Ovis aries: one gene and its partners. The protein of the gene in region 2 interacts with the protein of the main gene of each other region in a biochemical or structural test. Links are inferred from orthologs where the notes say so. Each region holds a gene or a part of one and is shown on either strand. Other genes may lie near its edges. The genes, in order: LRP2, GIPC1 and RGS19.

Region 1 (3,649 bases), on a different chromosome or scaffold from region 2:
TGTGCAGTTGGTGTGCGTCCACACAGAGGGTGTATCCCTGAATCATGGATTTGTGATGGTGAAGCGGATTGCCTTGATGCCTCTGATGAGCACCAGAATTGCACCAGGAGATCCTGCTTTGGAACAGAGTTCGTCTGTAACAATGGCTTGTGTATCCCCAACCACTTCAGGTGAATTGGGGATTAAAAAACTTATTAACAAACCTTAAATGTCCATGAGGCAGGGCTGGGGCCCATGATACTTTTCATGGCCTCTGAAAATGTTTGGACTTCTTTTAAAATCAAAAGAAAAAAAATAAAGAGAACTTCAAAGAAAATATTTACATACTAAATAATAATATATATGGCTTTATACCAACGTAGTCCTTAAATATAATTTTAAATATTTTTATGGAGGAAGGGGCCCATGAAAACAGAAGTGCCTGGGGTCCATGAAGGTCATAACGTGACCTTGCACAGAAGATCAGAGAGATGAGTGAAGTGGGCTTAGTAGAAGAAAATTCTTTCTTGAGGCAGCTGACGCTCAGGGTTTGCCACCTGGAATAGAGGCATGGGCGTAAGAAATACTTCATTCAATTCTTTCTGCTATAAGAAAAGTACCAGTGAGCAGGATGATAAATGGGGCTGCATGCTGTGGCTCAGGGTCAGCCTGACAACAGAGAGAGGCAGGTGAGGTACACTGTGGGTGTGTGCTCCAGCTAAGAGACACAGACACCAGTCAGCATCATGTGTTTGGAGAGAAACTGGGGATCTGGATTTTCACCTGAAATATTCTGATTTTAAGTGGTACTGGGTCTCATGACACAGGTGTGACCGGAACAATGACTGTGGTGACTACAGTGATGAGAGGGGCTGTGTGTACCCTACCTGCGGCGAGACCCTTTTTACGTGTCAGAACGGACTCTGCATTAATAAGGCCTATGTCTGTGATGGGGACAATGACTGTAGAGATAACTCTGATGAGCTGGAGCACCTCTGTCACACCCCAGAGACCACATGTCCCCCTCATCAGTTCAGGTGTGACAATGGGAACTGCATTGAGATGGTGAAAGTCTGTAACCACTTCCCTGACTGCTTAGACAGCAGTGATGAGAAAGGATGTGGTGAGTATAATGGAAAATTAGGGAAAAGGAAATGGGGGGACTGAACGTGGATTCTCAACCCTTTCTGACTTAGTAGGACCTTTCAGTTGGTTCTCTAAGTAGCACACTGCCAGAAAATTACTGCTGTTTGTCTATGAAGAAGCAAGGATTTCTTGGTCTATAAGGTCGGTCACACACATTTTTCGACTAATCATCAGTTAGTCATTCATTGTAGAGAATAGGAGATAAACAAATTAAGGCCATCTATCTAAGAGCAGACAGTGGTGATCATGCAATGACTTGTTGCTTTAACTGCCCCTCCTACATTCCTTAATCTGTTCTTAATTTTCATCCTGAGGTGACTAAAGGGGAAGGTTTAACTGGAAGTCCCCCTCCCACCGTGCCCCTAACCCCACCCTGGTTGTACTAGTTGTTAAAACTATTGGTGAAGGATCCAGGAAGGAAGTTGAGTAAGAGTGACTTTTGAATAATGTAGGGCCTTTAGAAATCCCTTTTTATGTCCCTGTTTATTTGTCTTTTTTAGCATGATTCATTAAGAACTTCAGTTCAGTTCAGTTCAGTTGCTCAGTCGTGTCCGACTCTTTGCGACCCCATGAATCGCAGCACACCAGGCCTCCCTGGCCATCACCAACTCCCAGAGTTCACTCAGACTCACGTCCATCGAGTCCGTGATGCCATCCAGCCATCTCATCCTCTGTCGTCCCCTTCTCCTCCTGCCCCCAATCTCTCCCAGCATCAGAGTGTTTTCCAATGAGTCAACTCTTCGCCTGAGGTGGCCACAGTACTGGAGTTTCAGCTTTAGCATCATCCTTCCAAAGAAATCCCAGGGCTGATCTCCTTCAGAATGGACTGGTTGGATCTCCTTGCAGTCCAAGGGACTCTCAAGAGTCTTCTCTTAACACCACAGTTCGAACGCATCAATTCTTCAGCACTCAGCCTTCTTCACAGTCCAACTCTCACATCCAACATGACCACAGGAAAAACCAACCATAGCCTTGACTAGACGGACCTTTGTTGGCAAAGTAATGTCTCTGCTTTTGAATATGCTATCTAGGTTGGTCATAACTTTTCTTCCAAGGAGTAAGCATCTTTTAATTTCATGGGTGCAGTCACCATCTACAGTGATTTTGGAGCCCAAAAATAGTCTGACACTGTTTCCCCATCTATTTGCCATGAAGTGATGGGACCAGATGCCATGATCTTCGTTTTCTGAATGTTGAGCTTTAGGCCAACTTTTTCACTCTCCACTTTCACTTTCACCAAGAGGCTTTTTAGTTCCTCTTCACTTTCTGCCATAAGGGTGGTGTCATCTGCATATGTGAGGTTATTGATATTTCTCCGAGCAATCTTGATTCCAGCTTGTGCTTCTTCCAGTCCACCGTTTCTCATGATGTACTCTGCATAGAAGTTAAATAAGCAGAGTGACAATATACAGCCTTGACCTACTCCTTTTCCTGTTTGGAACCAGTCTGTTGTTCCATGTCCAGTTCTAACTGTTGCTTAAGAACTTGGCTCGGTCCAAACCCAACCAAAAAAAAGAACTGCATCTGTCCAGCGGGAAGGCTGACTTTTTTGACCATTATGGTGGGTCCATTACTGACAACTTAGGTTCTCTGATAACTGTCTTTTACCTTACAGGCATTAATGAGTGCAATGACCCTACGCTCAGTGGTTGTAACCAAAACTGCACAGACACCTTAACCAGTTTCTATTGTTCTTGTAACCCTGGTTACAAGCTGTTGTCTGACAAGAGGACTTGTGTTGATATTGATGAATGCAAGGAGACGCCCTTCATCTGTAGCCAAAAGTGTGAGAACTTACCTGGCACTTACATCTGCAAATGTGCCCCAGGCTACATCCGTGAGCCAGATGGAAAGACCTGTCGGCAGAACAGCAACATCGAGCCTGATCTCATTTTTAGCAACCGTTACTATTTGAGAAATCTAACTATCTATGACAATTTATACTCCCTCATCTTGCAAGGATTGGGTAATGTTGTGGCATTGGATTTTGACCGAGTAGAAAAGAGATTGTACTGGCTTGATATAGAGAATAAAGTCATTGAGAGAATGTTTGTGAATAAGACAAACAGGGAGACAGTCCTAAAGCACAATCTACCAGGTGCGGAAAGTCTGGCTGTCGACTGGGTTACCAGGTAAGAAAAAAGCTATTTAAAAGTTAACAAGTTTTTGTTTCTGAAAAAGTGTTCTAGCCAGGCTTTCATCTTAATAGGGAATTGATCTTTCCCACTTGGGTTGCCAGGTAGAAACACTTTAATGCTTCGGCATGGTTTGTTTTTGTTGTTGCTGTTTTCTGGTGTGTACCTAATAATCAAATGGGATACCACAAAATCTAAAATCTAGTGACTTTTAAGAATTTATGGTATGAATTTTATGGGGGGGCACATCACAAAGGAAGAAAGAGCTCTGTTATTACTGGAGGTATGTGAAGGGATGATTCATGCTTTGGTTGGTTCAGTCATTTAAAGCTGTTGCCTAAGTGCGATGCTATTCTAGGGACTGGGGTTTGGAGGTAAACAAGACAGAC
Region 2 (2,776 bases):
CTGCTCCCCCAAAAACGCCGAGCCTTGGGGTGGGTTCCTCCCTATCAGCACTGACTGGGGCAGGCTGAGACCCCATCTGAAGCCCACCCCATCTTTCTTTCTCCATGCCTTCTGGCCCAGACAGCAAAGAATCTGCCTACAATGCAGAAGACTGGGGTTCGATCCCTGGGTCGGCAACCCACTCCAGTATCCCTGCCTGGGGAATTCCATGGGCAGAAGAGCCTGGCAGGATATACAGTCCACGGGGTCGCAACGAGTCAGACAGGACTGAGCGAGTAACGCTTTCACTTTCTGGCCTGGGGGCTCTCCGGGCCACTGGGTCAGAACAGACAAGGGCCCACTGCCTCTTGCCCACTGTTCACATCAGGCCAGAGGGTGGCGGGAAGCTTTGTTCGAAAGGGAGCAAGATTTGCACCCTGAGTAGACGAAGAAGCTCCGGCCTTGCCTGGAAGCCTGGTGGCTTGCAGCCAAGAGCCTCATCAGGCGGACCGGGTGGGAGGGGGCGGGTGGCTGGGGCCAGCTCTTAATTCAATTTGGAGCCCGAAGAGGATGGATTTCAGCTGCTACATTCTTTCCCAGCCCTGACCCACCCTCCTCTCCCACCCCGAAGCCAACACACAGATCCAACAGCAGATAGATTCTTTATGTTCCAGACAGCAAATTCAGGTACAAAAGCCCACCACCATCATCCCTCCCTCCTGCCCCTTCAGTCTGGGGCTGAGCTGAGGGAGACACGAGCGGGGCTGGGGAGGGAGGGAGTTTGGGGGGGTTTCACAGCAGACTAGTGTTTCAAATGCGGAGGTAACAGACTCCACAGTGAGGGGGCTCCTCTGGGGAGATGGGGGGGGGGTGGTGGAAGAGGAGGGCATTATTGCATTTGCTGAGGGGGGGGACACACCCCCCTCCTGCATTCCCTGCATCAGGAAACTAGGGAGGTCACGACCCCCAAACAGAACCCGAGGCCCCAGGGAGATAGGAGGGACCAGTTTGGCAGCTGAGGCGGAAAGTATTGGGGGCAGGGAGGTGGGGGTGGCCACCCAATCTGGCTGGTCCCTCTCCACCGCTGTGCCTGACCCTGGCTGAGGTAGGTGGGGAGGAGGGCGGGGGTGGGGGGCTGGGCGCCCCAGCCAGGCTGGGAACTGGCGAGGGGGTGGTACCGATTGGAGGAGGGGCAGAGGCCCAGCCCCACCTCCGCTCCGCATCATCTCCAGGCTACTGAGCTGGGCCAGAGCCAGACACTGGGGTCCAGGCTACGGTGTCTCCGCCCCAGAGGCTCCCACCGGGCCTGGCCCAAGTCATCTCGAGGTCCAGCGGAAGGCCTAGTAGCGGCCAACCTTGGCGTCCCCGATGGCACCCCAGACGTCAAAGACAAACTCATCCGGGAAGGCGAAGTCACCCAGCCGTTCATCCAGGGCCTCAGCCAGCTCATCCGGGTTCCTTTTGTCCTTTCCGAGCTCCACCATGGTGGCCGCTGGAGGGGGAAGGACAGGGGAGCAGAATGGAGGCACAGATGACAGAGGGGCTCAGGGTAGACTTGGCCCCCCAGGACCTGCAAGCCCCTTTCTCCCACACTCCCACCCATCCCCAGACCCTGATGACCCCCTCCTCACTTACCCAACTCTGTGTCCCTGATGCCCATGTAACTCTCTAACAGGTCATCCACCTTCTCAATGGCCTTCTCCTCAAAGGCTGAAGGCTGGGGGCGGAAAGAGGGAAGACGACATTATAATAATGTGAATATACCTGTAATTATACTGAACGCTGAGTGCAAATTTTTTTTTACACCACTTTTGGTATAGAAACCCACGGTTCTTCCTCATGACAACCCCAAAAGTTTCACAGATTAGGAAACTGAGGTCCACTTGCCTAAGGAAGGTCCCAGAGCTGGGAGGTGGCAGAGGTGGATGGACATCCAGTGCCCAGAGGCCCTCAGCTAAGAGTGATGCTGCCACCTATGAATTTCACAGGAAAGTGGTGGTGGGGGGTGGAGCGGGGAGGGACTTAGGCTCGGCTGGCACACTCACCAGATCCTCTACTGTGGCTGGACCCCGGGATCGGAGCCGGAGGGTCCCTCGGCCAGTACCCAGCTGGGGACCGGAGCCAGGGCGGCCACCCCCTGAACGCACGCTGATCATGTCTGTGGGAGATAGGGGGATGGGGTGAGGACTGGAGAAGCCCAGTTCCAGCATGTTCTGGGCAGAAACCCAGACATCCCGGCCTCAGCCCACCCTCCACCTTCTCCAAGCTTCTGTAGGCTTTGGGGGCACTGGGGGTGGAGGTGACCCCAGGAGGGCAGGTCTCCTGACTCTGGCTTGGCGGGGTGTAGGAGGCACAGCCAGGGGCTAGGATTGGAAAAGGGCTGGGAGGCTGGAGGGGACCACTCCTGTTCCCAGGGCCGGAGGGACAGGAAGGGGATGGGTCCTGGGTCTCTATCTACTTTCCCCAAGGCCAAGGGGGTTTAGCTGCTGGGCAGCAGACCAACCCTATCTGCCTGGGGAAGTGTTTTAGACCAACCCTATCTGCCTGGGGAAGTGTTTTAGAGTCCCCCTCCCCCACGCCAGGGACCTTGAGCCCATTCCGGAGAGTTAATGAAGCTGGACAAAAAAGTAGGGGGCCTGGCACAGGGCAGCCAAGCCTGGCTTCTTGGGGCTAGGGGGTTGGCCAGGTTGGGGGCGCTTGGCTAGGCTAATGGCTCCTGGAAGCTGGGTGTGGGGGCAACTTCCTCCTTGCCTCCATCCTCCACCTGAGCTGGGCAGAGAGCCAACACCCTCTCCCA
Region 3 (3,786 bases), on a different chromosome or scaffold from region 2:
AGGGTCCAGGGATCATGCAGGGAGGTGAAATCTGGGCCCACAGCTGTGTTTGCCTGCAACCCTTCAGGATGCCCCTGCCCCACTGCTTGTGGAGGCAGTGTGGATGGGGGTGGACCCCTGATGACGGTCCTGGGTCCCGGTGCAGCTCTGAGTTGCTTTACCAACTGGAAATTGAGGGATCAGAGTGGCAAGCCTGTGCCTTGTGAGGCCTCTGACACAGTATAGGTGCCACTGCATGGCACCCAGGTTCTCAGAGAGGTCACCTTGTCAGTGTCCTGCCCCAGCTGGCCCAGCCTCTGGAGACAATCTTTGATACCTGCCAGGGACCCTGCCTGCGGAGGACCTGGCCAGTACCTCTTGTGTTGCCAGCTTTGATGGCAAGGTGCCTTGGGGGCTGCACTTGCCTGATCACAGGCCCTCAAATGGGGAGGGCTGAGCACCTGGTCCCTGCACTGGGCAGGGCTGCTCCCCTGCTGGGGGTCCCAGACAACTCCTCATCCTCTCAGAGAGGAAAGACTTTTCCTTTAAAAATATCTTCAATAAGATTCTATTTTGGGAGTAAGAGGAGCAGAGTTAAATATGAAAACATTTTCTTTTTTTGATAAGACACACAGTGCCATATTTCCTGGTTTAAACTCAATGATCATATAAAAGAGAAATCAGGTCCTGCTGCCTTGAGCCTAGTTCTGAGGTCCTCAGTCTAATCCTGGGGTGCATACGGCACCAGGCAGAGGTCTCCTTGTATCACAGAACTAAACAGAAGGTCTGCTCTCCACGAAAGGGTTTCCCAGGGACCCTGTGAGATTTGTGGCTCCAGGATGCTTCCAGGGAGGGTACCTCCTTTCCCCACGTGCGAACCCGAGCAGGAGGGCTCCGTGGCCAGAGGCGGGGGGGTGGTTGATTCAAGAAAGGTCGCCTGGGCCCAGAGGCACTCACGCCTGCCTCTCAGCAGGACCCTGGAACACTGCGTCCCCCGGGTGGGGAAGGGGCCTCTGGCGCTGCACCTGCCACTCTTGCCTGGGACCACCCCTGGGTGCTGGGCCCGGTGGGTGTGCCTGACACCTGCTGAAGCTCTCTCCTGAAAGGAGTCTCTGCCGCGGGAGGCGTCCCACATCTGGGCAGCCACGTGGGCAGCCTAGGCCTCACTGGAGGACTGGGAGGCCCCCTGGAGCAGCAGGGTGCGGTAGGCGGGGGAGCTGAGGAAGCGGGGGTAGGAGTCTCGGTGCATCAGCGTGTAAATCTGCAGCTGTGCGTCATCGAACGTGTGCGCCGACGGCTCCTGCATCTTCTTGTTGATGCCCTCCCGCACCCGGGAGTCCAGGCTCACCTGCGGGACAGGGGCCACGGTCAGGGGCGTGGAAGCGCCCCCACCCTCCCACCCTGGGCCCGGCGCGGCACACCTCCTTGGGGGACAGGATGGACACGTAGTCCTCGTAGATGAGCCGGGCCTTCTCGTCCACCACATGCTGGTTGGCCTCGGCCTTGAGTTCCTCGCAGGCTAGCCAGAAGAGCATGTTCTCCTCGCTGTACTCCGTGCGCAGGAACTCCCGGAATACACTGCGACCCGCTGGGCTGTGCATCAGCTTGTCGAAGGACTGCGCCCAGCTCCGCACCTCTTCCGGGGTCGGCGTCGGCGTGGCGCTGCGGGGGGCATTTGGGCATCAGCCGGCTGCGTCAGGCTCCGCCCCCACCCGCGCAGAACCCCCGGGCCAGACTCACCAGACTTCGCAACTGGGGAGGGGCTGTAGCCTGCTCTCCCGGGAGGCTCGCCAGGCCCGCCGACGTTCTTCGTTCCTGCGGGCAGAGGGGAAGGTGGCACTGCCCTCCAGGCACACGTATGCATGCAGGACACTCCGCACACAGGTGTTAGAACGGGCAGGAGGCCTCGAGGTTCTCAACACACGGATGAACCCGTCGCAGGTGGGTCCGCTTTCCCAGCCTTTGGTCCTGCCCTGGGACATCTTCTTGCCTTCAGGGCTTCACAGGCCCCAGGTGTCTGCCTCCCTCCCTCCCTGGCCTGACCTAGACCCTCGCTGCTTTTTCCTACAGACCCCACTGATGTGGTGAAGGCCCAGCCTGTGTGTCTGACCCCTGACTCTCCCCAGGGGATCTGCTTCCCTCCTTAGCTCTGGGCGCAGCATCGGTGATGGCTTCCAAGTCCACACCTCCAGCCAGACCTCTCACCAGGGTCACTGACACGGTTAAGGACATCTGAGACTCAGGGTTTGGGCAGAACTCAGTTCCCTCCTTACCCCACCTTTTAGATGCGAACTCCTCTCCTGGTCCCTACAGGCAAAGGCTAAGCGGGTCCTAACAGTTCATGGCCTCCCATCCCTAACCCCAGGCAGTTTCTCTGTTTCAGGCCTGGGCTCAGGTCTCAGTTGTTCACTGGTCAGCTGATCCCCACTTGGGTCCCCTCAGCGCTGTCTACTCAACAGCCAAGGACTGAGAACCTGCAAAGGGCCATATGCCTCTGCAATGTACAAAACCGCCAACAGGTTCCCTATGTGCCTAGAAACTAGTTCACCCCCCGAGGCCCAGTGCCTTCCCCCACCCACCAACTGTCCCAGGGCCAGGTCTCTGCTCAAAGCCCCTCCACCTGATGCTGTCTGTAGGACCTGCTTTTGTCTTGTTCTGTTTTAGTTCCCAGGGCCAGTCTGGGCGAGCTTACAGAGACAAGACAGACATACACACCACCCTAGCTTACAGCAGAGATGCACACACATGTGCACGCTAGGTGCCTGCATGTTGCAGTAGACACACACACACCCCTAGTTTAAGTAGACACACATACACAGCTAGCTTACAGTAGATACACACACACACACATGCTTGCACGCCAGGTGCCTGTATGTGGATACCACCTGCACTGACCACTAGTCACCAAGCCCCTGGATAAGTACTGTGGGTGGCAGGGGTACCCTACTTGGAGGTGATGCCTCAAAAGCCTCCTAAGGGCTAAGGACCAGGGTCCTGGATCCTAGGTCTGCTCAGTGTCCACTCCCCACCAGGCATATCAAGCATCCCCAGGCCCACGTACCAAGAGCAGCTGCAACAACAGCACCAGCACAAGCAGCAGGGGTTTCGCCTGGGGGGAGCCGAGGGGGCCGCATCATGACTGGACATCGAGGGGGGCTGGTCCGCCTCCTCTGGCCCTGTTTGCTGGGGGAAGACAGGGCTGCCTCAGCCTCCAGGCAAAGCCCATGGTTACCACCCGCTTTCCAGCCCCAACTGCCCACCGGAGGCCATGCTCCCTCCCAGGGCTATGACCCTTGTGGCCTCCCAGATGTCCATGGGTCTCTGAACTCCTAGTCATGCCCTTAGCCCCCCACCCCCCAAGGGGCAGCGGCCAGGGTGGAGGCAGCCCACCTGCTTCTCAGCCTCAGGTGGGGTGGGCATGGATGGGTGGAGGAGGTTGCCAGGGCTCCGTGGTGCCTATTCCAGGACACCTGTTTCTGTCACCACAGCCTGGGGGTCTGAGAAGAGAGGCCGGGGTTCTCACTGAGAACCTTACACCCGCCCTGGCCGGCACCCTGCCAGGCATTCTGAGTCTCTCCCTACCTGCCTCCCTGGCCTCCCACCTCCACGGACTCTCCTCCGCCTCCCACCTCCCACCTCTAGACTACTCTGCCCAGGCCCAACCCCCACTCTAGTCTACACAGAAGATGTGAGGGGATGGGGATCAGGAAGGAGGAGACCCCAGACAAGCTCTCCACAGGAGGTTCTGGGACACCCCCATCTGCTCCCTCCCTGGGAAGCCGGAAGCAGGGGTTCCTCTTTCTTGGT

What was found.
Region 1: the proteins of GIPC1 (region 2) and LRP2 form a complex in vitro, tested with the Homo sapiens proteins (2 studies listed by BioGRID). The link is inferred for Ovis aries from reciprocal best matches to the Homo sapiens genes GIPC1 and LRP2.
Region 3: the proteins of GIPC1 (region 2) and RGS19 form a complex in vitro, tested with the Homo sapiens proteins (2 studies listed by BioGRID). The link is inferred for Ovis aries from reciprocal best matches to the Homo sapiens genes GIPC1 and RGS19.

The regions. Positions count from the first base shown.
Region 1 is NC_056055.1:140,232,158-140,235,806, forward strand, and holds part of LRP2 (low-density lipoprotein receptor-related protein 2), read left to right. Parts: coding exon 1-170; intron 171-806; coding exon 807-1,102; intron 1,103-2,740; coding exon 2,741-3,257; intron 3,258-3,649. UniProt on the Homo sapiens protein: Multiligand endocytic receptor. Acts together with CUBN to mediate endocytosis of high-density lipoproteins. Mediates receptor-mediated uptake of polybasic drugs such as aprotinin, aminoglycosides and polymyxin B.
Region 2 is NC_056058.1:9,615,452-9,618,227, reverse strand, and holds the end of GIPC1 (PDZ domain-containing protein GIPC1), read right to left. Parts: intron 2,138-2,776; coding exon 2,025-2,137; intron 1,697-2,024; coding exon 1,615-1,696; intron 1,472-1,614; coding exon 1,320-1,471; 3' UTR 623-1,319; downstream 1-622. UniProt on the Homo sapiens protein: May be involved in G protein-linked signaling.
Region 3 is NC_056066.1:53,500,180-53,503,965, reverse strand, and holds the end of RGS19 (regulator of G-protein signaling 19), read right to left. Parts: intron 3,477-3,786; 5' UTR 3,400-3,476; coding exon 3,370-3,399; intron 3,163-3,369; coding exon 3,041-3,162; intron 1,795-3,040; coding exon 1,720-1,794; intron 1,642-1,719; coding exon 1,401-1,641; intron 1,328-1,400; coding exon 1,136-1,327; 3' UTR 532-1,135; downstream 1-531. UniProt on the Homo sapiens protein: Inhibits signal transduction by increasing the GTPase activity of G protein alpha subunits thereby driving them into their inactive GDP-bound form. Binds to G-alpha subfamily 1 members, with the order G(i)a3 > G(i)a1 > G(o)a >> G(z)a/G(i)a2.